Saccharomyces cerevisiae S288C: one gene and its partners. Changing the gene in region 4 together with the main gene of any one other region gives a genetic interaction. Each region holds a gene or a part of one and is shown on either strand. Other genes may lie near its edges. The genes, in order: CPR7, ERG13, RAX1 and LCB5.

Region 1 (8,255 bases), on a different chromosome or scaffold from region 4:
ATCCAATAGTTATGTTAAATACACCTGAGCCAAAGCATAGTCATGAGCGTCATTTCACCGCGTTAATATTCTCTGATGGTTCAATCAAAGCTTTTGAAGTCTCTTTAACACGTGGTATTTTTGAAGTAAAGTCTGATTCATTAGATATCGATGGTGACGACATATACAAGATCTCCATTATTGACCCTGTACATCAAACTTTTGTGAGTAACAGGCCTTTGATTTCTTTGATTACTAAAAAAGGTCTTACCAGAACGTATAAAGCCATCGTTAATTATAATGATAGGCATGTCCAATGGATCAAGGCATGTGAAATTAACACCGGAATAATGAATTGTACATGTATTAGAGGATCATCTACAGGTAAGTTATGTATTGTTAATTCTACTGGTAAAGTAATGTCACTATGGGACCTGAACAGGGGAGTTCTTGAATACGAAGAAACATTTCATAATCCTATCGAGGATATAGATTGGACAAGCACGGAATATGGCCAAAGCATTGTCTCTATCGGATTTACAGGATACGCTTTACTTTATACTCAATTAAGGTATGATTACACGAACAACACACCTAGTTACCTACCTATTGAAAAAATTGATATCACAGCACATACAGCTCATAATATAGGTGACTCCGTATGGATGAAAAATGGCACGTTTGTTGTTGCTTCCGGAAATCAATTTTACATCAAGGATAAATCTCTGGATTTGACTGATCCATTTACGTACCAATCAATTGGTTCAAGAAAAATTTTATCAAATGATATTCTCCATTTAAGTAGTGTTTTAAATGGTCCACTTCCAGTTTATCATCCACAATTTTTGATTCAAGCCATTTATGCGAATAAGTTACAACTTGTCAAGGAGCTGTTATTAAGATTGTTTTTAGCGTTAAGAAAATTAGACTTTGAATCGCAAGATGTATCTAATTTGGATTCCAATCTAGGAATGGATCCATTAAAGTACTTTATTGCTAAAGATAGAGACTATCCGGTCGAATCTTTCCCTGATCCATACCCCTGTTTCAATAAGACAGTGTCTCTAGCACTTACTGAGCAACTAACGAAAACAACTTTGCCTTATCTAACCCGCCACCAGCAGATCACGCTTATCACAGTCATTGAAGCAGTGGATGAAGTCACCAAAAATGAGAATATAGTAGATTACAACGGTGTTAGGTTCTTGTTGGGCGTGAAGTTATTTTTATCACATAAAAATATTCAAAAAAGCATATTGATGAGGGATGTGTCTTGGGCATTGCACTCAGACAATAAAGAAATATTATTATCTTCTATTGACCGCCACATAACCTCATGGAATCGCGCTCGAGAATATAGAATAGCCTATTGGATTAAGGAGCAGGACTTGGTGAAGAAATTCGAGGATATTGCAAAATATGAATTTTCCAAAGATGATAAGAGGGATCCAAGCCGTTGTGCTATTTTTTATCTTGCGTTGAAGAAAAAACAGATACTATTGAGCTTGTGGAAGATGGCTATTGGTCATCCTGAGCAGCAAAAGATGGTTAGATTTATCAGTAATGATTTCACTGTACCGAGGTGGAGAACGGCAGCACTCAAAAATGCTTTTGTTCTGCTAAGTAAGCATAGATATATGGATGCAGCAGTTTTCTTTCTCTTAACTGACTCTCTAAAAGATTGTGTCAACGTTCTTTGCAAGCAAGTGCATGATATGGATTTGGCAATCGGTGTATGTCGTGTTTATGAAGGTGATAATGGACCCGTGTTGGGAGAGCTATTGACAGCGCAAATGCTACCTGAAACAATAAAGGAGAATGATAGATGGAAAGCAAGTTTCATTTACTGGAAATTGAGAAAGCAGGAAGTGGCTATTAAAGCTTTGCTGACTGCTCCGATTGATTTAGAAAACAACTCAAGCATTGTTGATAAGGAAGTCTGTGTTAACAGATCATTCCTTGTTGAAGACCCTGCTTTGCTCTATCTATACAATCACCTGAGAAACAGAAACTTGAAGTATTTCATTGGATCTCTAAATGTTGAAGCAAAAATCGAGTGTACTCTGATCTTAAGAGTTACTGATATTCTTTGCCGAATGGGTTGCAATTACCTGGCGGTTTCACTTGTGAAGAATTGGAAGTTCATCGAAAGAAATTCCATACCAGTTCAGAAGCTATTAAAGAGCCCCACCAAGGATAGAGCATATTCTGCTATTGGCGCCATGGCGTCTGAACCAATTTCTACTGCTAGGATGAGGCCCAGTCTTTTTGATAAGTTTGGCTCGCCAAGTGCTTCAGATATAGAGTCACCTAATCCAAAGTTACCAAATAGCTTATTAGACGACTTCTTGCAACCACCACCAAATAGCACTTCTTCAAATTCCCTCGCTCAAAGTTCTTCTTCTGCACCTAGAAGTATACTGGATGAGTTCGTCTCTCCTTCATATTCTCAGCATAAAGAGAATTTAACTCCAAAAGCGCCAAACGACTCTGTGGGTGAAACAGACAACTCAGAAAATAGGAAAGATAAACTCTCTAAGGACATATTAGATGATCTTTCATCACAAAAGCCACAGAAGCCAAAAAAATCTGCTATTACCAAGAACTTACTAGATGACTTTGTATGATATCATATTTTTTATCAAATAAATGGATTTATAAATAAAAATAATTACATCTTATTAATGTAGTGTTTTCATATTGGGTTATTTAATCTCAAATTTCAGCCTTACAAGTAACTAATTAGGAGAAAAACTTTGATATATTCTTTCTTGTCTTTTCCTTATTCTCTTCTATGAGCCTATTGACATATTCTATTCTTTGTTCTATAACTTCGTCATCGGGATTTTTCTCTTTACAAAAAATATAATCTTGTAAAGCTTCGTCTAGTCTCTTTTTTTTTAAGTAACTGTTACCTCTTCTATAATAAGCCTTTGCTTGATCTCTGTTAGGAACGTTATCCATCTCCAATAAATACGTAGCATACATGATAGCATCATCGTATCTTTCCAGATTAAAGAGCACCAAAGATAAATTTAGGTAAATTTTCATCTTTAGGTTAATAAATTGGATGTTTCTTTCTTTGTCTACGTCGGGTTCAGGCATGTATTCATTGATATAATTTAAAGATTTTCTGTATTTGAAAAAGGCATTAGAGTAATCCTTTTTCTTAAATAAGAGCGTCCCAGATTCTTTGATTATATTAGCAGCCTCAAGAGCCTTACCAAAATCATCGTCACCGAAATGTGTATCATCGTCTGGATATTCTTCGTATACGTCACCGCCAATTTGGTCATTAGAAGCGTTGTAAAGCGGGACACCCATAGTTTTTTCCCACACTCCACAGTCGCTGATTCTAACGTCTGATTCAGGGACTCCATCAGAATCTACCCTGCAGTTTTCTATAGTGCGAACCACTGATTTTCCATGAACCACCTGCCCAAAAATAGAATGCTTGCCGTTCAAATGAGGTGCGGCGTATGTAGTTATGAAAAACTGGGAATTGTTCGTATTTGGAGAACCTAAATTGGCCATACCTAAGGTAAAGGGTTCTACAAACTCTCCCAAGTTTTCGTCTTCAAAATTCCCGTAACAGAAAGATTCATCATCGGTTTTCACTTCCTCTTTATCAGCGTAAATTGAACATCCACCTTTTCCAACAGACGATGAAGAGGAATCCTTTTGTGTCCCAAAGACAATGTCACCTGCCTGGATCATAAAATTCTTAACGACTCTATGAAAACCATTTCCCTTATAGCTCAGGTACTGTTGATCCTTCAAAGGACTCTTAACATCACCAGCGCATAACTTATAAAAATTCTCTGTTGTTTTAGGAGCCTTCTCACGAAAAAGTTTGCAGACAATACGACCAATTGGTTTTTTATCAATGGAGATGTCTAAATATACAAGGGGATCTTGAATCATCGCGTTGGATGTAGGTTGTTGCTGCCGAACACCTTTCAGAATAACGACTTTTTTTTTCTTTGCAGTTTCTCATTTTTATGATTTTCTAATCACTTCATCACTCAGCGCATTGGAAAAAAAACAATATATAGATCTCTTTGTTTACATGTTGGAACTAAGACCTTTTAATATGGATACTTTACACAGAGAATTGAACCATCTTAGTTAAGTTAATTCGCAACTTTGGTAAGAAGCGCCCAGGTTTAACTAATACGGCTTCATATACAAAATGCACGACGTGCCAATGGAAACTGTTTTGGCCGTGAACCCAGCTACGATGATTGTCAAAGAGTGCATCAATCTTTGTTCTGCCATGAACAAGCAGTCCAGAGATAAATCACAAACAAGTGTGGCCGCGTTGCTGGGCGGAGGTAGTGATATATTCTTGAGTCAAAGTGATTCGTTTGTTGACAGCTTCCACAATTTGCCTACTTCTAGCTATCATGATCCTCTGATATCTGGTTTAGTACAGCTGCGGCTAAAAATTAACGACTTGAAGGGTTTAGATTCATTAAACGCCTTGGAACTTTTGAAACCATTTTTAGAAATAGTCAGCGCTAGTTCAGTATCGGGTTATACTACTTCTCTGGCTCTGGACTCGTTGCAGAAAGTTTTTACACTAAAAATCATAAACAAAACATTTAATGATATTCAAATTGCCGTTAGGGAAACCGTTGTTGCGCTTACACATTGTAGATTTGAAGCTTCAAAGCAAATTTCGGACGACTCTGTTTTATTAAAAGTTGTAACATTACTACGCGATATTATAACCTCTTCCTTTGGAGACTATCTCTCCGATACTATAATCTACGATGTTTTACAAACGACACTTTCCTTGGCATGTAATACGCAGAGAAGCGAGGTTTTGAGGAAAACGGCTGAAGTTACAATTGCAGGGATAACCGTTAAACTATTTACAAAGTTGAAGTTACTAGATCCACCTACAAAAACAGAAAAATATATCAATGATGAAAGTTACACCGACAATAATTTGAAGGATGACATTATAGGTACGACTACCTCTGATAACGATTTGAGTAGCACTGATGATGACAGTGCTGTTGCAGACGATAATAAAAATGAGAAGCCAGTCCAACAGGTCATAAGGGAACAGGAAAATGATGAGGAAACGGCTGAGAAAGCCGAAAATGTCGAGCCAAATTACGGAATAACAGTTATAAAGGATTATCTTGGATTATTGTTATCACTGGTTATGCCAGAGAATAGAATGAAGCACACAACTTCGGCCATGAAATTATCTCTACAGTTAATCAATGCAGCCATTGAAATATCCGGTGACAAATTTCCTCTATATCCCCGGTTATTCAGCTTAATTTCTGATCCAATATTTAAAAGTGTTTTATTCATTATACAAAGTTCTACCCAGTATTCTCTTTTGCAAGCAACTTTACAATTATTCACGAGTTTGGTTGTGATATTGGGTGATTATTTGCCTATGCAGATTGAACTGACTTTAAGGAGAATATTCGAAATTCTAGAGGATACCACAATCAGTGGTGACGTTAGTAAGCAAAAACCACCTGCAATCAGGGAATTAATTATTGAACAACTTTCAATACTGTGGATTCACTCTCCCGCTTTCTTTTTGCAACTTTTTGTAAATTTCGATTGTAATTTGGATAGGTCGGATCTTTCGATTGACTTTATAAAAGAGCTAACTAAATTTTCTTTACCAGCGGCGGCCGTTAATACCTCTAACAACATTCCTCCAATTTGCCTAGAAGGTGTACTTTCGCTTATTGAAAATATATACAATGATCTGCAGAGATTTGATAGGGCAGAATTCGTAAAAAATCAGAAAGAAATTGATATTTTGAAACAGAGAGACAGAAAGACTGAATTCATATTATGCGTTGAAACATTTAATGAAAAGGCAAAGAAAGGCATTCAAATGTTAATTGAAAAAGGATTCATTGATTCGGATTCTAATAGAGACATTGCTTCATTTTTGTTTCTCAATAACGGACGTTTAAATAAGAAAACCATCGGTCTATTACTTTGTGATCCGAAAAAAACTTCATTGTTAAAAGAATTTATAGATCTATTCGATTTTAAAGGGTTAAGGGTTGATGAAGCGATCAGAATTTTGCTGACGAAATTCAGATTACCAGGGGAATCTCAACAGATTGAAAGAATCGTTGAAGCATTTTCATCAAAATATTCTGCTGATCAAAGCAATGATAAAGTGGAGTTAGAGGATAAAAAAGCAGGAAAAAATGGCTCAGAGTCAATGACAGAAGATGACATCATTCATGTACAGCCTGATGCAGACTCTGTGTTTGTGTTAAGTTATTCGATAATCATGTTAAATACCGATTCACATAACCCGCAGGTTAAAGACCATATGACTTTTGATGACTACTCTAACAATTTACGAGGATGCTACAATGGAAAAGATTTTCCTCGTTGGTATTTGCATAAAATTTACACGTCCATCAAAGTTAAGGAAATAGTAATGCCTGAAGAACATCATGGAAATGAAAGGTGGTTTGAAGATGCCTGGAATAACTTAATATCCTCAACATCTGTGATGACAGAGATGCAAAGAGATTTCACAAACCCTATTTCTAAGTTAGCGCAAATAGACATACTTCAGTATGAGAAAGCAATTTTCTCAAATGTTAGAGATATTATCCTGAAGACTTTATTCAAAATATTCACAGTTGCTTCCAGTGATCAAATATCATTACGTATCTTGGACGCCATTAGTAAGTGTACATTTATCAACTATTACTTTTCTTTTGACCAGTCATATAATGATACTGTACTTCATCTGGGAGAAATGACAACATTGGCACAAAGTAGCGCAAAAGCGGTGGAGCTAGATGTTGACAGTATTCCTTTGGTCGAGATATTCGTCGAAGACACTGGGTCGAAGATATCCGTTAGTAACCAGAGTATAAGACTTGGACAAAACTTTAAGGCTCAGTTATGTACCGTATTGTACTTTCAAATCATTAAAGAAATAAGTGATCCTAGCATTGTTTCTACCAGACTATGGAACCAGATTGTGCAACTCATTTTGAAATTATTCGAGAATTTATTGATGGAACCTAATTTACCATTTTTTACAAACTTTCATTCACTCTTGAAACTTCCTGAACTACCATTGCCAGATCCAGATATATCGATCCGCAAGGCAAAGATGAGCAGAAGCCTTCTGTCTACTTTCGCCTCTTACTTGAAAGGCGATGAAGAACCTTCGGAAGAAGACATCGATTTTTCCATTAAAGCATTTGAGTGCGTTAAGGCTAGCCATCCTCTCAGTTCAGTCTTTGAGAACAATCAACTCGTCAGTCCTAAGATGATTGAAACTCTTCTCTCTTCACTTGTGATTGAAAAAACGAGTGAAAATTCGCCCTATTTCGAACAAGAACTTCTCTTTTTGTTGGAAATATCCATTATATTAATATCAGAGGCTTCTTATGGACAAGAATTTGGAGCACTAATTGCTGATCATATGATTAATATTTCGAATTTAGATGGCCTTTCCAAGGAGGCTATTGCAAGACTTGCCTCGTATAAAATGTTTTTGGTTTCGAGATTTGATAATCCACGGGACATTTTAAGTGATTTAATAGAACACGACTTTTTGGTAAAAAATGAAATCTTCAATACTAAATATTATGAAAGTGAATGGGGGAAGCAAGTAATAAATGATCTGTTTACACATCTCAATGACGTAAAATACAATGAGCGGGCTCTCAAAAATGTAAAATTTTGGAATTTTTTAAGGATATTAATATCAGCCAAAGACCGCCAATTTGCCGTCTACACATTTTTGGAAAAATACATTCAAAATGGTGATATCTTTGTAGATGATGGGAACTTTATGAACATATTAAGTCTGCTTGATGAAATGTCATGTGCAGGTGCCGTTGGCACAAAATGGGAACAAAATTATGAAAATTCAGTCGAGGATGGGTGTGAAGCACCTGAATCCAATCCATACCGTTCTATTATTGATCTTTCTAGTCGTTCCATTAATATAACTGCAGACCTACTTTCGACTGTTGGGAGGAGTAATTCAGCACTCAACAAGAATGAGATTATAGCTGCTATTCAAGGTCTCGCCCATCAATGCCTCAATCCCTGTGACGAACTAGGTATGCAAGCATTGCAAGCATTAGAGAACATTCTGTTATCTCGAGCAAGTCAACTACGTACGGAAAAAGTTGCGGTGGATAACCTACTAGAGACAGGATTATTACCGATTTTTGAGTTGGATGAAATCCAAGATGTCAAGATGAAACGAATTACTAGCATTTTATCCGTTCTTTCTAAAATCTTCT
Region 2 (3,746 bases), on a different chromosome or scaffold from region 4:
TTTGAATGACTCTAAGGAAATTACACCTGCAAGACAAAACAGCATACCAGAGGTCAAATTCCCTCAAGAACTCTCAGATGTTTCTAAAGTGGCCTGTACGTTTTTGTGCCTTTTATCCAACGACACGGATGATGGTGCTGGTTCCGCATTTTGTCAACGCATCAGGCCACTGGTTCTACATAAATTGGCTGATATTCCACCTTTAACATTAGCATTGTCTGAATACATGGAAAACACGTCGGGGTTATGAATGAGAAAAAAAATCGGTTGGGCTTAACTTTAAAGAAAAAAGTTGAGATTAGATTTATTGTGTTATAAATATAGATATACAATTCTTTATAAAAAAAATATATATATATATCATTGTTATTAAATAAAGAGTTTTCCTAGTATATAGATTAAAAAACTACTCTATTAAATGAGAGCTAAAAAAAGCAGGCTGCCAAAAAAATAAAGCATTTATGAAGGGGGTTCAGCAAGATGCAATCGATGGGGGAAGATTATTTTTTAACATCGTAAGATCTTCTAAATTTGTCATCGATGTTGGTCAAGTAGTAAACACCACTTTGCAAATGCTCAATGGAACCTTGAGGTTTGAAGTTCTTCTTCAAATGGGCATTTTCTCTCAATTCGATGGCAGCTTCGTAATCCTTTGGAGTTTCGGTGATTCTCTTGGCTAATTTGTTAGTAATATCTAATTCCTTGATAATATGTTGGACGTCACCAACAATTTTGCAAGAATATAGAGATGCAGCTAAACCGGAACCGTAAGAAAATAAACCAACACGCTTGCCTTGTAAGTCGTCAGATCCAACATAGTTTAATAGAGATGCAAAGGCGGCATAAACAGATGCGGTGTACATGTTACCTGTGTTTGTTGGAACAATCAAAGATTGGGCAACTCTCTCTTTGTGGAATGGCTTAGCAACATTAACAAAAGTTTTTTCAATGTTCTTATCGGTTAAAGATTCGTCATAATCGCGAGTAGCTAATTCGGCGTCAACTTCTGGGAACAATTGAGGATTGGCTCTGAAATCGTTATATAGTAATCTACCGTATGATTTTGTGACCAATTTACAGGTTGGAACATGGAAAACGTTGTAGTCGAAATATTTCAAAACGTTCAAAGCATCCGAACCAGCGGGATCGCTAACCAACCCTTTAGAAATAGCCTTCTTGGAATAACTCTTGTAAACTTGATCAAGAGCCTTGACGTAACAAGTTAATGAAAAATGACCATCGACGTAAGGATATTCGCTGGTGAAATCTGGCTTGTAAAAATCGTAGGCGTGTTCCATGTAAGAAGCTCTTACAGAGTCAAATACAATTGGAGCATCAGGACCGATCCACATAGCAACAGTACCGGCACCACCGGTTGGTCTTGCGGCACCCTTATCGTAGATGGCAATATCACCGCAAACTACAATGGCGTCTCTACCATCCCATGCGTTAGATTCAATCCAGTTCAAAGAGTTGAACAACGCGTTGGTACCACCGTAACAGGCATTAAGCGTGTCAATACCTTCGACGTCAGTGTTTTCACCAAACAATTGCATCAAGACAGACTTGACAGACTTGGACTTGTCAATCAGAGTTTCAGTACCGACTTCTAATCTACCAATTTTGTTGGTGTCGATGTTGTAACTCTTGATCAACTTAGACAAAACAGTTAGGGACATCGAGTAGATATCTTCTCTGTCATTGACAAAAGACATGTTGGTTTGGCCCAGACCAATTGTGTATTTACCTTGAGAAACGCCATCAAATTTCTCTAGCTCAGATTGGTTGACACATTGAGTTGGGATGTAAATTTGGATACCTTTAATACCGACATTTTGAGGTCTGGTTTTTTGTTCAGCGGTCTTTTGTTTTTTTAGTTCAGTCATTTGCAAGTTTGTATTGTGTAATTGTTGTTGCTTTTGCGGCCTAAGTCTTCCTTTAATACCACACCAACAAAGTTTAGTTGAGAGTTTCATGCTGCACCTTTTATAGTAATTTGGCTACGAAAATTGGCGAGGCACCCAAACAGTTCCGCCCGATGAGGCCGAATGGAGCCTACTTTCAACACACTCGTATAATTAATAGCCCGGTTCATTTTCGACACGATACCGCAGCCATGGAGATTGTGGGTATGATTACTCTATAGTATTATGTAATATTGTATGGAAAATTTTTCTATTGTATATACGAAGCTTATTCCGTTAAAAGACGAAGACTTGATCGTCGCCAGAACTTCTCGTTGAATTGACCTTCCAGCCCAGTTCTTTAGCGTATTGAAGGGCCAAGTTGTTCATTCCATCAGGTCCACAGATCAAGAGTCTGTTATCCTCCGAATATTCCGGCAGATACCTGTTCATCTGGTCCTTGGTGATGTAGCCGACATCTCCGGTCCATCTGTCGGATGGATAGTGTACCACGTAATGGACCTGGAAATGTGGGTATTTTTCGGCCATCTCATCCAGTTCGTCCTTCAATAGAATGTCATTTTCAGTCTCATTGGCATATAGCAGGGAGACTTTCGTCAAATCTTCAGGAACGGTGATGATTTCATTCAAGATCTGTAGGACTGGCGTGATACCAGAACCACCGGCTACGATACCTAAATGCTTGGAGGAATTTGGTTCGTAGTTCAAAGTACCTATTGGCCCCTTGAAATCCACGGTGTCACCAGAATTTAAGCCAGCGAAATATTTGGAGACTTTACCATCAACGTATGCTTTCACCACCAAATCCAAGTATCCACTTTCTAGTTTAGAACTGATCGGATTATAGTATCTGACCTCTTGTTTGCCGTCAATTGGAACGCGTACAGCAACATGATGACCAGCGGGAATGTCCAAGCTTTCCAGTCTTGTCTTCAACTTAAAACGATACAGGGCGGTATTCTTGGAAATTATGGTTTGATCTTCCAATTCTAACGAAGTCCACCTATCTGGATACAGTGATCTTCTTCTTTTGTAGGCAGAGTATGCTCTGACGAAGATGATCATGAAGAGAATGGGTAAACTCCACAGGATTTTCAATTCACCAGACATATACGTGGTGATTGCAACACCAACAACGAATAGCGCGGCAGGAATATAGATCCCGTGGACAGGTTCGTCTAGAATGTTAGTTCCTTCTATGTCTTCTTTTGACATTTTCTTCACGCGGTTCTTGGAGTGCTTCCTTTTTTGTGATAAGTTTGGGTGGCAACGAGATGAGCTCAAAACTCTTTGTTTTTTATGGGTATTTTTGTCTTAGAATATTTTCAAATTTTTCAATATTCCGCGGAACATAGGGAAAAAAATAAATTTAATAAGCTATTGTTCTAACTGTACACCTAAAGGTAAGTGAAAAATAATTCGATAATTAGAGGTATCTTTATTTGGATAGAATATGCATATATATATATAAGCGTATATATATATATATATATATATGTATATACATATGGACATTAAGTAAATATAAATCTATAAGTGGGTATCGGGATCAGAGCCACTTTCTTAGAACTCCTCAGCGTAAGAATCGGCACCCACTTCAATATAATCTCTTTCTAAGGCAGCTAAATCTTCTCTAGCTTCGGTGAACTCACCTTCTTCCATACCTTCACCGACATACCAATGGACGAAAGCACGTTTGGCATACATCAGGTCGAATTTCTGATCGATTCTCTTCCAAGCGTCCGCGATGGCAGTGGTGTTGGATAGCATGCAGACAGCTCTATCCACATTGGCTAATTCGGAACTTGGTATCACACTTGG
Region 3 (8,068 bases), on a different chromosome or scaffold from region 4:
AGAGTTTCCTGGAATTTCAGTTTTTCATTTTTTTTTTCACCAAGTTCTACATTATGTAAATACTTCTCCCACCCATTGATTTCCTTTAGTCTTTCCCAGAATATTTTTGCATACACTTCAACCTCTTCTGGTGTTTTGGAATCAATAGATTTCTTAATGTTTTCCATATCATCTCTACCGTATTTGGCGCAGGCGTTGATAAACGCCATAAAGTCCCTCTTATTCCAGTTAGTAAAGGCTTTTGATATCAATTCTTGCTTTCGTAATTCATCTTCTTGGGTAAAATCCGGTGCTGAATTAATCTTCTCTTGCTCCTCCTCAATCCTTCTTTTAAGTTCCTCATGGCCTTTATGACCTTCTGTATTAGCGGCATTTTTGTATTCTCCTTCTTCTTCTTCAGCATCGCTTCCTTCATTACGTATATCTCCCGTAATATCATAAGAAGTAACCTTATAGTTGACCTTTTTCTTGAAGTAAAGCTGTTCCTTTTCTTGTAAGGCATCCAACTCCTTGGGGAAGAACTGGAAATCTTGACCGTGTATAACCTTTGGAGCGCGGGGTGCTTTTGGCTGCGGAGTTTGCTTGCTTGCTGATTTAGAGCCACCACCAATAATTTCCTTATAATAATCGTCAACTGAATAAGTGGTTTGCTCTCTTCTTCTTTCTCTTCGGGAAGGATTAATCCATTCAACTACTTTGTCGTTGGATTTTTTTTGAAAGCTTTTACCATTCCATTCGTAAGCAGATTGGTTCTCGATCCCATTGAACTTTTGTAAGTCGTCAAGTCCTAAACTTTGGTATTTGGCATTTAGTTCTTGTGTCTTCTGTTCCCCCTTTTTCAAAATATCATCGATATCAGCATCAACAGTGACTTTACTTGCTTTCTTTTCAAACATATTTTTAGCGCCAAATTGAATCATATCCAACAGATCATCCTTTGAGTTACCAAGAGATGCAGTTTTCTTGCCCGTGCCCTGTTGGATAACCAACTGGTCTAGTCTCAGCTTTTGTGCGGCACGCTCAATGACTTTCTCTTCAATAGCATTTTCTGTGACAAATCTATAAACATGAACTTGTTTCTTTTGACCAATTCTATGCGCTCTATCCATTGCTTGTAGATCAGCTTGAGGGTTCCAATCAGAATCAAAAAGAATAACAGTGTCGGCTGTGACAAGGTTAATACCTAAACCACCGGCACGTGTTGTTAGCAAAAAAACGAACTTTTCAGAATTAGGTTTATTATACTCATCGATAGCTTCTATACGTTCTTCATGGCTAGTAGAACCGTCGATTCTGCAATATTCAAAATCTCTAAAATAGCAATAATCTTCTAAGATATCCAATAGTCTCGACATTTGACTGAAAATCAATACTCTAGATCCCTTTTCCTTCAGTCTTTTCAGTAACTTATCTAATATAATCATTTTCCCGGAATTGAAAATCAAATGTTCATCGGTAGTGTATGGAGGTCCAGGTTCTGCGCCTTCAAAAAGATATGGATGATTACAGCATTTCCTTAATTGCATAACAATATTCAGTAACCTCGTTTTGCCTTCTCTTTTTCCAACAGCACCGTTAACAGCGTCTATATCCTTCTCTAATAATGATTTATACCATTGTATTTGCATGTCTGTCATCCCCACGTAAACATTCGTTTCGATTTTAGGTAGCAAAGATTTTTCGACATCCGCTTTGACTCTTCTCAGTAAAAAGGGGTTTAGTACTGAGTGTAGCTGTTGGATTACAATTTCTTGATCTTGTTCCGAATTGTTTTGTTCGAACCATTCATCAAAAAGTTCAGAATCTCCAAATATATCAGGTAATAAGAAATTTAGCAGGGCCCATAATTCGTGTAGATTGTTTTGTAGAGGCGTGCCCGTAATCAATAATCTATTCTTAGAGTAAAATAATCTAATTATTTGAGATAACGCGCTTTGTTCATTTTTGATCCTGTGAGCCTCATCAATAACAATATATTGCCAAGCTAATCTTTTCAAAGCATTCTTTTCTCTAATGACCATTTCATAAGATGTAATCAATACATCAAATCTAGCTTCTAATATTATATTCCGTACTATATCAGCTCTTGTGTCTTTATCACCATGTAACACAAGGACATTGACGTTTGGAGTCCATTTAAGAAACTCTCGTCTCCAATTATCTAGTGTTGACTTCGGTACTATTATTAGAAAGGGTCCCTCGATTTGTTTGACGTATCTCAAATAACCTAGGAATGAAATTGTTTGTAAGGTTTTACCCAGCCCCATTTCATCGGCCAAGATACCAGATAGTTTGTTTTCGTGCAACGATATTAACCAGTTTAAGCCTTGAACTTGATAGTCTCTTAATTTTCCTGACTTGACGAAGGAGGGAGATTCTGAGACGAATATGTCTTCCTGATATGTATCTACAATCTCTTCTTCCTCATCAGCCATTAATTCAGCATCTTCCTCCTTTTCTGTTTTTCTATGGTGACGTGATGACGAACTGACGGTGCTGTGTGATTTGGAAAGTTTGTTTGCATCAGAATCTAACTGTTTTAAGAGTTTTTGAATATTTTTATCATGTTTTGCCTTAATTCCAATAAAATGACGGAAAAGGTCTGTGACGCCTAATAAATATTTGAATCTTTTGTACGTATCGGACTTGTCCTTTTGCTTGGCGTATTTTGGATCTACATCAAGTACGAATTTTTTCTTTCTTTGAGCCCAATATTCTGGTGGTCTATCTTCTACTGTATATATTTCTTTATCTGATAGCTCTTCACTTTGTCCGATATTATCATCATCACTACTGCCATTTGACTTTGAGTCGAGAGTATCGACTAAAACTTCTGAAGGTGACTCGCTTTTGCTATTCTTGGTATCACTTCGTTGCTCCTCTTGCTGGGTCGTCATGATCTGATTGTAAGTTTTCCTTTTGTTACGACTTAAACCAACAAGACGGGTATTATTGGAAAGTAAATAAAACAAACCACAAAGAAAGAAAACCGTTTGCACAAACTCCTTGAGTTATGCAAATATACTTATCAAAATTTAACTGAAGCTGAAAATTTTTGAGTCTGCTTTATTTGATTTTTTTTTTAGGATGGCAGGATGAAATTAGAGCCATTGTACGTACGTTACGTTTTTTTGTTCATTTAATTACAAGAAGCGCCCGTTAATTATGACAACTGCGAGTAGATACTAAGCAACGACGAGTAGCGCAAAATACCATGAACTGAATTGAATCGTATTTAGATGTACGTATGTGTTACGTAATGTATAAATTTTGTTTTTAGAACAACACTCTTTCCTTGGCCAACTTAGTAACATTTATACTCTGCAATCTCGATTTATCGGTACTGTATGTTACTTTTAGTGAGATTGAACTTTTTGCCTGAGATTGTAATTGGTATTTTTCTATATTATCGAAGAATTTGTCAAAAAGAATAGCTGTGTCTAAGGGACCACCTTTTGCCTCTGGGTGAAATTGGGTAGAAAATATGGGTCTTTGAAGGTGTATCATGCCTTCGTTTGATTTGTCGTTTAAATTAACAAAATAAGGTTTCCATTGGTCCTTTGGTAGGGTCTCAGGATCAACTGCATAGCCATGATTTTGAGATGTAATGTGGCACTGGCCGGTAGTCAAATCCATGGCAGGGATGTTGTGAGCCCTATTACCATATTTCAATTTGTGAGTAGAGGCACCGGAGGCCAGAGCCAAGAGTTGATGGCCTAGACAAATCCCAAAAATAGGGATACAGTCATAAACAGGGTTATTTAGTAATTCCCTGACGTTGGAAATTGTAGCTTGGCATAGTTCTGGGTTGCCTGGTCCATTGGATAAGAAAATACCGTCGAATTCAGAAGCAACATCTTGAATTCTGTAATCATAGGGGAAAACAGTTACATTGGCACCTCTTTTGACTAGGCATCTGATAATGTTTTCTTTAACACCACAGTCAATAAGAGCCACATTTGCCTTAGCCTTCCCAGGTAAGGCAGAGACGTGGAAAGGCTTTTTTGTGGTGACTTGAGCAACCAAGTTAGTTTTCATGGGATTCACGTAGGGGACAGGGTCATGATCAGCCAACGTAATACGGCCCAAAGAAGAACCTTGTTCCCTCAAGTATTGCACTAGTTCACGGGTGTCTACGCCAGTAATAGCAGCAACACCTTCTCTCTGACACCATTGTGCCAGAGATTCAACAGCGGTCCAATGCGAATATTGATAAGCATATTCAGCGACAACGATGCCGACCACATGTATATGCGGAGATTCAAAATACTTCAGTAAATTGTATTCATCGCGGGCTTCGCCGGATGGGACACCGTAGTTACCAATCAAGGGTTGCGTGAAGACTAATATCTGACCACGGTAGGAAGGATCAGTCATGGACTCTGGGTAACCAACCAGAGAAGTAGTGAAAACTGTTTCACCAGCAACAGATTTGTTTGCACCAAAAGATATACCTTCAAAGGAAGGACCATTTTGGATACAGAAAGTAGCTTTTGTTGCAGCGGAGGACATTTGAAATATTTTTAGGAGTGGTTTGTGATAGAATTTCTGATTATTAAGCAATGAAATTAGTGGGAGCTAGTTTTCCAGATGTGGTCAGATATGTAGTCTTGGCAGGTGTATTGAGAGTTCGATAAGCTAAACATATAATGTTTTTTTTATTTCAAATCTGCAAAAAGGGTATGTAGAAGAGTCGATTACCTTGTATTCTTTGCAGTATTTAAACAATTAGATGTTCGAGTGTATCTATGTGTTATAGTTCTGAAGAAAAAAAAAAAAAAAAAAAAGAAAAAGAAACGACGAGTCAAGAAAAGAAAAGAAAAAGGAGGGGCATGAAAAAAGAAATTGACCGAATAATCTAATGAACGTTGGATAGTTAAGTGTCTTACGAGAGAGCCTTATATATCATGTCATCGCCTTTTTTTTCCGCGAGAGGTGATAAGTGAAATCGCAACTATTTACTCATCATGAGGTAATGCGATGCGATGATGAGTCAAACACCCTTCCACGGGAAGCGCCAGCCGGCGCCCTCGGTAAAGCCTGCACTTAACGGCCCCTCGCTGTTTCTTGTACTTAGCGTCACGCGCTATGGAAATATGCGGTGCACAGGTGTTTTTATAGGGGGGTGATGGATTACATCATACACGACGGCCGGGAACACAGCTGAAAATAACTGTGAATGCGGCAGTGGCACCCACTACGAGAAGCAGACACCACAGTCCACGCTTACGTAGAAGCTGCCGAGTAAATGGGTGCTCTATGCGGGTAAGACGGCGCCTACCGCCGAACACCGCAAGTATCATTGGCACGTGATCGGTATCACTAGAAGCATCTCCTTCGTCATTGCCAGCGTTTTTGTGTCTGTGGAGAAGTCTCTGTGTGACGCCAAACCAGGAATACACAATGTCCACTTGATACATGCCACACACAATGCAGTAGCATCCCAGTGTAAATGGCACGACCGTAACGACACGGATTGCGCGACTATACGCCAGGAAGATTAGAACATATCCGATCCAAAAGCCGATGCCTAGCCAGAGCAAACCAAAGCCAATACGACTGATTGACGTGTGATTGGAGAATGGCGAGCGAGAAATGTGCGTCTGGCCTCGAGAGCGATTGCTTTTTTCGTTGGTGACGCCCACTGAGTGGAATCTCCAATCAGATATTTCATCGTGGATGTTGTGTAGTGCGACGCGGCTTAGAAATTTTGGGAAACAATCCATTTCTAGGAATTGGTAAGTTAGGTTTTTTAGGTCGTCAAAAATCTCAATGTCGTACTTTCGCTCGATTTGTACGCTTTCTATTATGCGGTTCCGCGTTTCCATGGGGATGTTGCTCAGGTACCGTTCGCTTTGTTCGGGCGATACTAAATAGGTGTTGCAGAGACCAACTGCGCTGTGCAGCAGTTGTTTTGTAGTTATCTGCGGTTTTCCGTCTTGTTGGGAGCGCCTTTTCATTATCTCGTCGACGATCAGCGCTACGTCTTCGTTTCTCAGGGCTTCTTGACCGATACCCGATTGGTGCTTCCAATCACCCAGCAATTCGTTTAATTTTGGTGAAAAGGGCACGTCTGGGCCGCTATTTTCTAAGAGTTTATCAGGTGCTTCCGGGTCTAGGTGCCCTTCTTCTATCAGTGCGTTCAGCAAGTCAAATGTAGCCGTAGATGTACTTCCATTCTGCTGTTGTTCTTGTGGAAAGTTGATTAATGATTTTCTTACCAACTCTATGTAGTTTTTGCAAAGTCGTGTATGTGTCATAAGGTCAACCCAAAAGTCCAGATAGTTGATGGCATATGGGAATTGTGAAAGAAATGTATAAAAAGTCCAGAGATCAACTGGCTGCGATGTCCTCTGTATTAACACTTCATACAATGTTGGCAATCGTTCACGCTGGATCATCTCGAAATTTTGCATACTGCTCACTTTGCTGAGCTCTTCCTTCATGATGAATGGGACGCTCTTGAACTTTCTTTTTGGCAGAAATTGTTAGAGGTCGTTGTGCACAATGAATTTCCCGTATGTGTTTTATTGATATTTTCGTTTTGCCCGCATTCTCGAAACACGAATATTTTTCCTCGAATGGCGGCGGGCGGCGAAGTTACATAACCAGCATTGCTCTGTATTAATGTATGCTGGGTTTTCTTTAAAGTGACCCAAGAGTTTGACACAACGTTGAAGCGTATCGCCAATTTTTTTTGGATTATATATACGTATTAATGTCTTTTTATCGTATTTATGCATCGTAGCATCCAATGGTGCAAGTAGTGAAGAAATTGAGCAAATTCTCCTGCACCAAGTTGAGAACAGTTTCTGGATATCTTGACGAGATTTCATTCGAAACTTTGGTCAGACTCATATCTTGAATAACCACACTTAAACAATCAAGTAAACTTATGGAAAATTCCGTATACCAACGGTGGTTCCAGCAGCATATCTTCACGCAAAGGTCGATAATGCTATTGTCTAGCTCTCTTATGCGTGAGCTTACTATTTCAGGGACCATGTCATGCGAATTAGGTGAGTTTATAAAATTTTTGACCCGTTGGCGTTCGTTTATACAATATTCCAGCAGTTTCCTCGCGCACCTTGATGAAAATCTCTGCGATAAACCGTTCTGGAAGGCCTTGGCGGCCTCAGGGAAATGGCCCAGTCGACGTGCACAAAGGCCAAATAACTCCCATTCGAAAGTCAACTTATTGTGGTTGTTATTCTGTGCATCCATGTACAGTTGTTCGGTTTGCCATAATGTATACATCTTCAGGTCTTCATATAAAAGCATGAAGAGGTTGTCTAACCATCGTTCACACAGCCGTTTAGCCCTCAGAGGCTGTTCTTCTTGTTTGTTAACGTCCTTTGGTAACGAAGATGATGATTTTTGGTACTCTTCTTCCATAACGAAAATGTTTGATCTGTACTTTAACAGATTTTCCCAGCCGGTGATCTGCACAATTTCTGTCAATAATCGGTATGCCAATTGGAAAGTAGATTTCAAGTTCGACGCAGCTAAATTGACCAGCATTGGATCCGCAGAGCGGTGTTCATTCTGAACGTCTTGTGGATTCAACGACGTCACTTCATCCAGTACAACGTCAATTGGCAATGGCAAATGAAGACTATTATTCGAAGGCAACGGAGCTACTCTTTTCAGTACGTATTTTTCCTTTAATGGAGACATAGGGCATGAATTCAGTATCAGTAAGGCATTTTCAATATCATTTAGCTTTACATACACCTTGGATAAAAGATACCAAGGTCTAAATTCACTGGGAGAACAATTGACTGCCTCTTGCGCTATGTTTTGCGCCAAGCTGTAATCCTGCCTTTTGTCTATCAAAAATTGCGCTTGTAAGCACAGTAATTCAGATTTATAATCCATGCGGTTATTAGTGTTGTTTATTATTTTATCCTGCGAAAGCATATCGTATGTGAGCTTTATTGCGTCTAATTCTTGATCACACACCAAAAAGATCTTGATTAGTATTATGATCGCCTCAGGGTTGTCGGTAGCCAGATTCTTCAACATTATTTCCGCCCTGCTAACATTACGAGTCAGCTTAACTATCTCA
Region 4 (5,303 bases):
TCAAAGCTTTATTCAAAAAGATTGCCAAATCGCTGCCTGAATTTCAAAACAGCGAGTCAACTCCTTTGGATAGCGAAAATGCAAATAGTGCAAACCAAAATAAACCGGGAGTCATTGATATTTCTACAGCAGAGGAGCAGGAACAAAGCGCTTGTCAGTGTTAGCACCTAATATTTCAGTTCTATAGGGCATAAGGAGAACTCTTTGTGTGCGTCATATTTTTTAGTGAACTACCAGCACATAATAATTGTACTGATAATATTAATAATAATCATAATCATAATGTACTTGACGATCTGATGTGTAGGAGCTAGTACTCACTAAACATGGTTGTATTAAAGAATGGTATTAAAACTTTTTATAAAGAAGTATGGAGTGTATAAAGTTATCAAACAACAACAAAAACAACAACAACGTAAAAAAAATATAGAAGAAATAGAAATGACATATTCTAGTTTTTGATTAATTGTTCAGTACGAAGGAAAAGATTAAGTAAAGTGTCACATAGAATCGAAATCTGTGTCCACATAACGGCCATTTCTCAGTAACGTCTTGCATAAGCGTGGCATAATTTCGACTTGAAGGGGCTCTAGAGGAAATTTCTCGCCATCGACAGAGAACAAGCCGTTCCCTAGCTTTGGTATTATCTTGTATGCCAAAATTTTAGAGTGTAAGACTTCCGGTTGTAAAACATGGGAACCCTTATCTAGTCCCAGCAGGATTGGTGCCATCCTCGTCAACGAGGTTCTTGCATCGGTGATAACCATATCCATTGTACCATCTGAAGGAAGCGCTGCCGGAAAGAATTTAGTGTCAGCAGCCACATATGGCATTTTACCCGTATAGAAGATACCTAGGTTGTTCGAAATATTAGGATCCAATCTTTCCCAGTCACTAGGGATACCTTCATCTAATGGATATTTTATTTTGAAATCTTCCTCTTTAATTTGATCAGCACTAGAATCTGCCAGATCACGAGATATCAAGTGGGAGTCTTCGTCATCCGCATCCGCATCTTCATCTTCATCTTCGTTTTCGGTTTCGTATTCATTTTCGTAATTGTAATTATCACAATCCTCGTTATCTTTGTTCATAGTAATATGCTGGAATTCTAACGACCCTTTATTTTTGTGTTCCAGGTAATGATTTTTTAACTCGTTTTTTGATTTGGCAGCATACTTTACATATATCTCACAAGGATATTTTTTTTTTTGTATGATATTGAAGGCTACACCCAATTCAAACCTTGCAGGTCCCATCCATCTAATAAATTCAGTGTTTATGTCAGTTTCTGCAATGAGACCATATGTTTGACTTAAAAATGATAACTTTGGGTGCTCTCTTGCATAAGAAGGCTGCGAACAACACATCAAATCAATTCTAGTCTCTATCGATTTAATTAAGCATAAAGTTGAGTACGAAGGATTGTTTGTCCAGTGGCAGGATACGCTCATTGCGTTACCTGATCCGCATGGAATTTCTGTAATGGCGATATTGTTGAATGCTTTGACATGATCAGGCCTTTGGTATAACCCATTGATCACCTCATGAGGAATGCCATCTCCCGAAGCGCAAGCAATAGTGTCATATTTGTCAATATCCATTTCCCGCGCGATCTCTATAGCATGACCAGGGTATTTTGTATAAACCACTTCTATGGAACACCGACTTGCTAATAGTAACGGCTTTGCCTTTGTCATAAACAGTTTTTTCGCCTTACCTTTACCACCAAACGGATTAATGATCACAAATATGGATTTGTTCCTTCTAGTGTTTTTGTAGCTTCTCTTTAAAATCTCCTCAACCAAGTCATCTTCTTCTTTTAAGTGAGAAGATGAATGGGGTTTATAGTCAATATACAATGAAACCCTTTTGGGTACAACGTCATGCCGTCTTGGCCTAGCAAATATAACCTCTACTAGTTTCGTAAAAGGAGATCTGGAAGTCAGGAGGCTACTACTACTGTTACTTCCTCGCGATAGCGAGTTGCCCTTCCTTTCTTTTTTTTGGGAAGACTCTAATTCATCAAGATCACACTTTTCACTAATGTTACTCATTGAGCTGCTTAAAGGTGAACTGGGTGATGAATTGGCATCATAATAATGCAGAGGTTCCTTTTCAATGTATCTGGCATCCAGAATTCGTCCATAGGGGATAACGGTGTTTGCTGGCAATTGACCATTCACCGAAGGATAATGAAGTTTTGGATTAGCAGAAAGATCATCTTTACTTGTATCCGTTGTCGATGTTTCCGATCTGTCTATTGTATCAGTATCGCTTAAACAGGTAACACAGCTAATTAGTGAAGCCGTTTCAAATATACTGTTGTTATCACTGTTGCTTTGAAAGCTAGTTCTACTGATGTTGCTTTGAAAGCTAGTTCTACTGATGTTGTCAATGCTGCTGCGACTTCGTTTATCTGCCATTCTATTTGCGTATGTGTAAGGACTTGATGGTTTTGCCTTGATCATTATTCCTTCCTCAGTCAGTATCGCTGACGTTATTTGCTTCTTCCTGGAATGGCGAGACCTGCCCTTACGTCTCTTTGAAGGTTTCAAAGTCATCTCTTTTGGCTTACTGTTTAAATCTTACACTATTTGTGGTTTTTTCGAGATAATATCAAGAGTCCTTTTACTCTTCTTTTCTTTCCTATTTTGCAACACGTATATACAACAGTTTATGCTGTAGTTATACTTTTTTGATTGTTTTTGTATAAATAGATTCGGCTCACGCAGCTTACGTTCCCTTTCTTCTTCGCCTGCGAAGGCTTTAACAAGGCCCGAAAACACCTTGATTTGCAAATCTAACTATGAATCTTGCAGAAAAGCGGTGGCAACTGAAAGGGAAAAAAACATAGATTAAAAGAAAGCAACATAGTAACATAAAGGAAGAGAAAATTTTGATGATAAAGAAGATGAATAATATACCTAATGCATCCAAATGTTCCTCCTGTTATACTATTGGGAATTATTGCGAGTGCATCCATTCGCGCAATGATCAAGTAGAACGCCAAGACTAGTTGTGCAAAGAAGTACAGTTGAAATTCCAGCCAGTTATGTCTCATCCCTATTCCACTGTTTTTGTAGGTATACAATGGTGTTACGAGCAATTGAAGCTGTTTATTGCCTGGTATTACCTCTGGAAACTTACTTTATAGCCGCCCATCTGTATATGTCATCATATACGGACCTCGTGGAATTTTCCAGAAAACCAAATGGGGAGGGTGACTTTAATTTTGCTTCGTTTTGCCCGGAGCAGAATCCAGACGGACATTCATGTATATATATTGAAGGAGACTAAGTTTTACATTCATTATGTAAGGTCGTGGTTGCGTCTTCATGCACTTCCTTGAATAATATAAGAAAATTCCCACGAGAAAACATCATAAGCAAAAAAGTTTTCAAAATGTTGAGATCATCCGTTGTTCGTAGTCGCGCTACTTTAAGGCCTTTATTGCGTCGTGCTTACTCCTCTCATAAAGAATTGAAATTCGGTGTAGAAGGAAGAGCCTCCCTTCTTAAGGGTGTCGAAACTTTAGCTGAAGCGGTTGCTGCTACTTTGGGTCCAAAGGGTAGAAACGTTTTAATCGAACAGCCTTTCGGTCCTCCAAAGATTACTAAGGATGGTGTTACAGTTGCCAAATCTATTGTGTTGAAGGACAAGTTTGAAAATATGGGTGCCAAGTTACTACAAGAAGTTGCCTCCAAAACCAATGAGGCTGCTGGTGACGGTACTACTTCTGCTACTGTCTTAGGTAGAGCCATCTTCACAGAATCCGTCAAAAATGTCGCCGCTGGTTGTAACCCTATGGATTTGAGAAGGGGTTCTCAAGTTGCAGTTGAAAAAGTGATTGAATTTTTGAGCGCCAACAAGAAAGAAATTACCACATCTGAGGAAATTGCTCAAGTAGCAACCATTTCTGCCAATGGGGACTCTCATGTTGGTAAGTTACTAGCTTCAGCTATGGAAAAGGTTGGAAAAGAAGGTGTCATCACTATCAGAGAAGGTAGAACATTGGAAGATGAACTTGAGGTTACTGAAGGTATGAGGTTTGATCGTGGTTTTATTTCTCCATACTTCATCACTGATCCAAAGTCGAGCAAGGTGGAATTTGAAAAGCCATTGCTATTGTTGAGTGAAAAGAAAATTTCTTCCATTCAAGATATCTTGCCAGCTTTGGAAATTTCCAATCAAAGCAGAAGACCTTTGTTGATCATTGCTGAAGATGTTGACGGTGAAGCTCTTGCGGCTTGTATTTTGAACAAGTTGAGGGGTCAAGTTAAGGTTTGTGCTGTGAAGGCGCCTGGTTTCGGTGATAATAGAAAGAATACAATTGGTGATATTGCAGTCTTGACGGGCGGTACTGTTTTTACTGAGGAGTTGGATTTGAAACCAGAACAATGTACCATAGAAAACTTGGGTTCTTGTGACTCTATTACCGTTACTAAGGAAGACACCGTTATCCTGAACGGTAGTGGTCCAAAGGAAGCTATTCAAGAGAGAATTGAACAAATCAAAGGCTCCATCGACATTACCACCACAAATTCATATGAGAAGGAGAAACTGCAAGAGCGTTTGGCCAAATTGTCCGGGGGTGTTGCTGTCATCAGGGTCGGTGGTGCATCTGAAGTTGAAGTTGGTGAAAAGAAGGACCGTTACGATGATGCTTTGAACGCTACCAGAGCTGCAGTTGAGGAAGGTATCTTGCCAGGTGGTGGTACTGCCTTAGTGAAGGCATCTAGAGTTTTGGATGAAGTTGTTGTCGACAATTTCGATCAAAAATTGGGTGTCGATATCATAAGAAAGGCCATTACAAGACCAGCCAAGCAGATCATTGAAAACGCTGGTGAAGAAGGTTCAGTTATCATCGGCAAATTGATTGATGAATATGGTGATGATTTTGCCAAGGGTTACGATGCCTCTAAGTCAGAATACACCGACATGTTAGCCACTGGTATCATCGATCCATTTAAAGTGGTTAGATCCGGTTTAGTTGATGCTTCTGGTGTTGCCTCACTATTAGCTACTACCGAAGTTGCTATTGTTGATGCCCCAGAACCACCAGCAGCTGCTGGCGCTGGTGGTATGCCAGGTGGTATGCCAGGAATGCCAGGTATGATGTAACGACCGCCTTAATTCAAAATTTATCTTTCGTTTAAATATGGTAATAATTTTATTATCTTGTAAATACAATGTGAAAAAAGTTGAGATTTTTAGGAATCACTTTTTCAAGTATAAAGAACTATATATGACTATGAGCTATTATATCTTTAAGTATGACTATATGTTGATAACTGAACAAA

What was found.
Region 1: mutations in LCB5 (region 4) and CPR7 together harm fitness more than expected from each alone (negative genetic interaction), as found in Saccharomyces cerevisiae (2 studies listed by BioGRID).
Region 2: mutations in LCB5 (region 4) and ERG13 together harm fitness more than expected from each alone (negative genetic interaction), as found in Saccharomyces cerevisiae (3 studies listed by BioGRID).
Region 3: mutations in LCB5 (region 4) and RAX1 together harm fitness more than expected from each alone (negative genetic interaction), as found in Saccharomyces cerevisiae (2 studies listed by BioGRID).

What each region holds. Positions count from the first base shown.
Region 1 is NC_001142.9:486,729-494,983, reverse strand, and holds CPR7 (peptidylprolyl isomerase CPR7), read right to left. Parts: upstream 3,904-8,255; coding exon 2,722-3,903; downstream 1-2,721. Other genes in the region: RAV1 (Rav1p), read left to right, coding at 1-2,606; Arf family guanine nucleotide exchange factor GEA1, read left to right, coding at 4,172-8,255. UniProt on the Saccharomyces cerevisiae protein: PPIases accelerate the folding of proteins. It catalyzes the cis-trans isomerization of proline imidic peptide bonds in oligopeptides. Plays a major role in negative regulation of the heat shock transcription factor (HSF).
Region 2 is NC_001145.3:18,560-22,305, forward strand, and holds ERG13 (hydroxymethylglutaryl-CoA synthase), read right to left. Parts: upstream 1,977-3,746; coding exon 501-1,976; downstream 1-500. Other genes in the region: RSC9 (Rsc9p), read left to right, coding at 1-250; PGA3 (cytochrome-b5 reductase), read right to left, coding at 2,202-3,140; alpha-tubulin TUB3, read right to left, coding at 3,489-3,746. UniProt on the Saccharomyces cerevisiae protein: Hydroxymethylglutaryl-CoA synthase; part of the first module of ergosterol biosynthesis pathway that includes the early steps of the pathway, conserved across all eukaryotes, and which results in the formation of mevalonate from acetyl-coenzyme A (acetyl-CoA).
Region 3 is NC_001147.6:879,343-887,410, reverse strand, and holds RAX1 (Rax1p), read right to left. Parts: upstream 6,447-8,068; coding exon 5,139-6,446; downstream 1-5,138. Other genes in the region: ISW2 (DNA translocase), read right to left, coding at 1-2,897; carbamoyl-phosphate synthase (glutamine-hydrolyzing) CPA1, read right to left, coding at 3,277-4,512; YOR302W (uncharacterized protein), read right to left, coding at 4,569-4,646; BUD7 (exomer complex subunit), read right to left, coding at 6,736-8,068. UniProt on the Saccharomyces cerevisiae protein: Required for the establishment of the bipolar budding pattern. Involved in selecting bud sites at both the distal and proximal poles of daughter cells as well as near previously used division sites on mother cells.
Region 4 is NC_001144.5:663,105-668,407, reverse strand, and holds LCB5 (sphinganine kinase LCB5), read right to left. Parts: upstream 2,565-5,303; coding exon 501-2,564; downstream 1-500. Other genes in the region: Rab family GTPase YPT6, read left to right, coding at 1-164; VPS63 (Vps63p), read left to right, coding at 1-171; chaperone ATPase HSP60, read left to right, coding at 3,406-5,124. UniProt on the Saccharomyces cerevisiae protein: Catalyzes the phosphorylation of the sphingoid long chain bases dihydrosphingosine (DHS or sphinganine) and phytosphingosine (PHS) to form dihydrosphingosine 1-phosphate (DHS-1P) and phytosphingosine 1-phosphate (PHS-1P) respectively.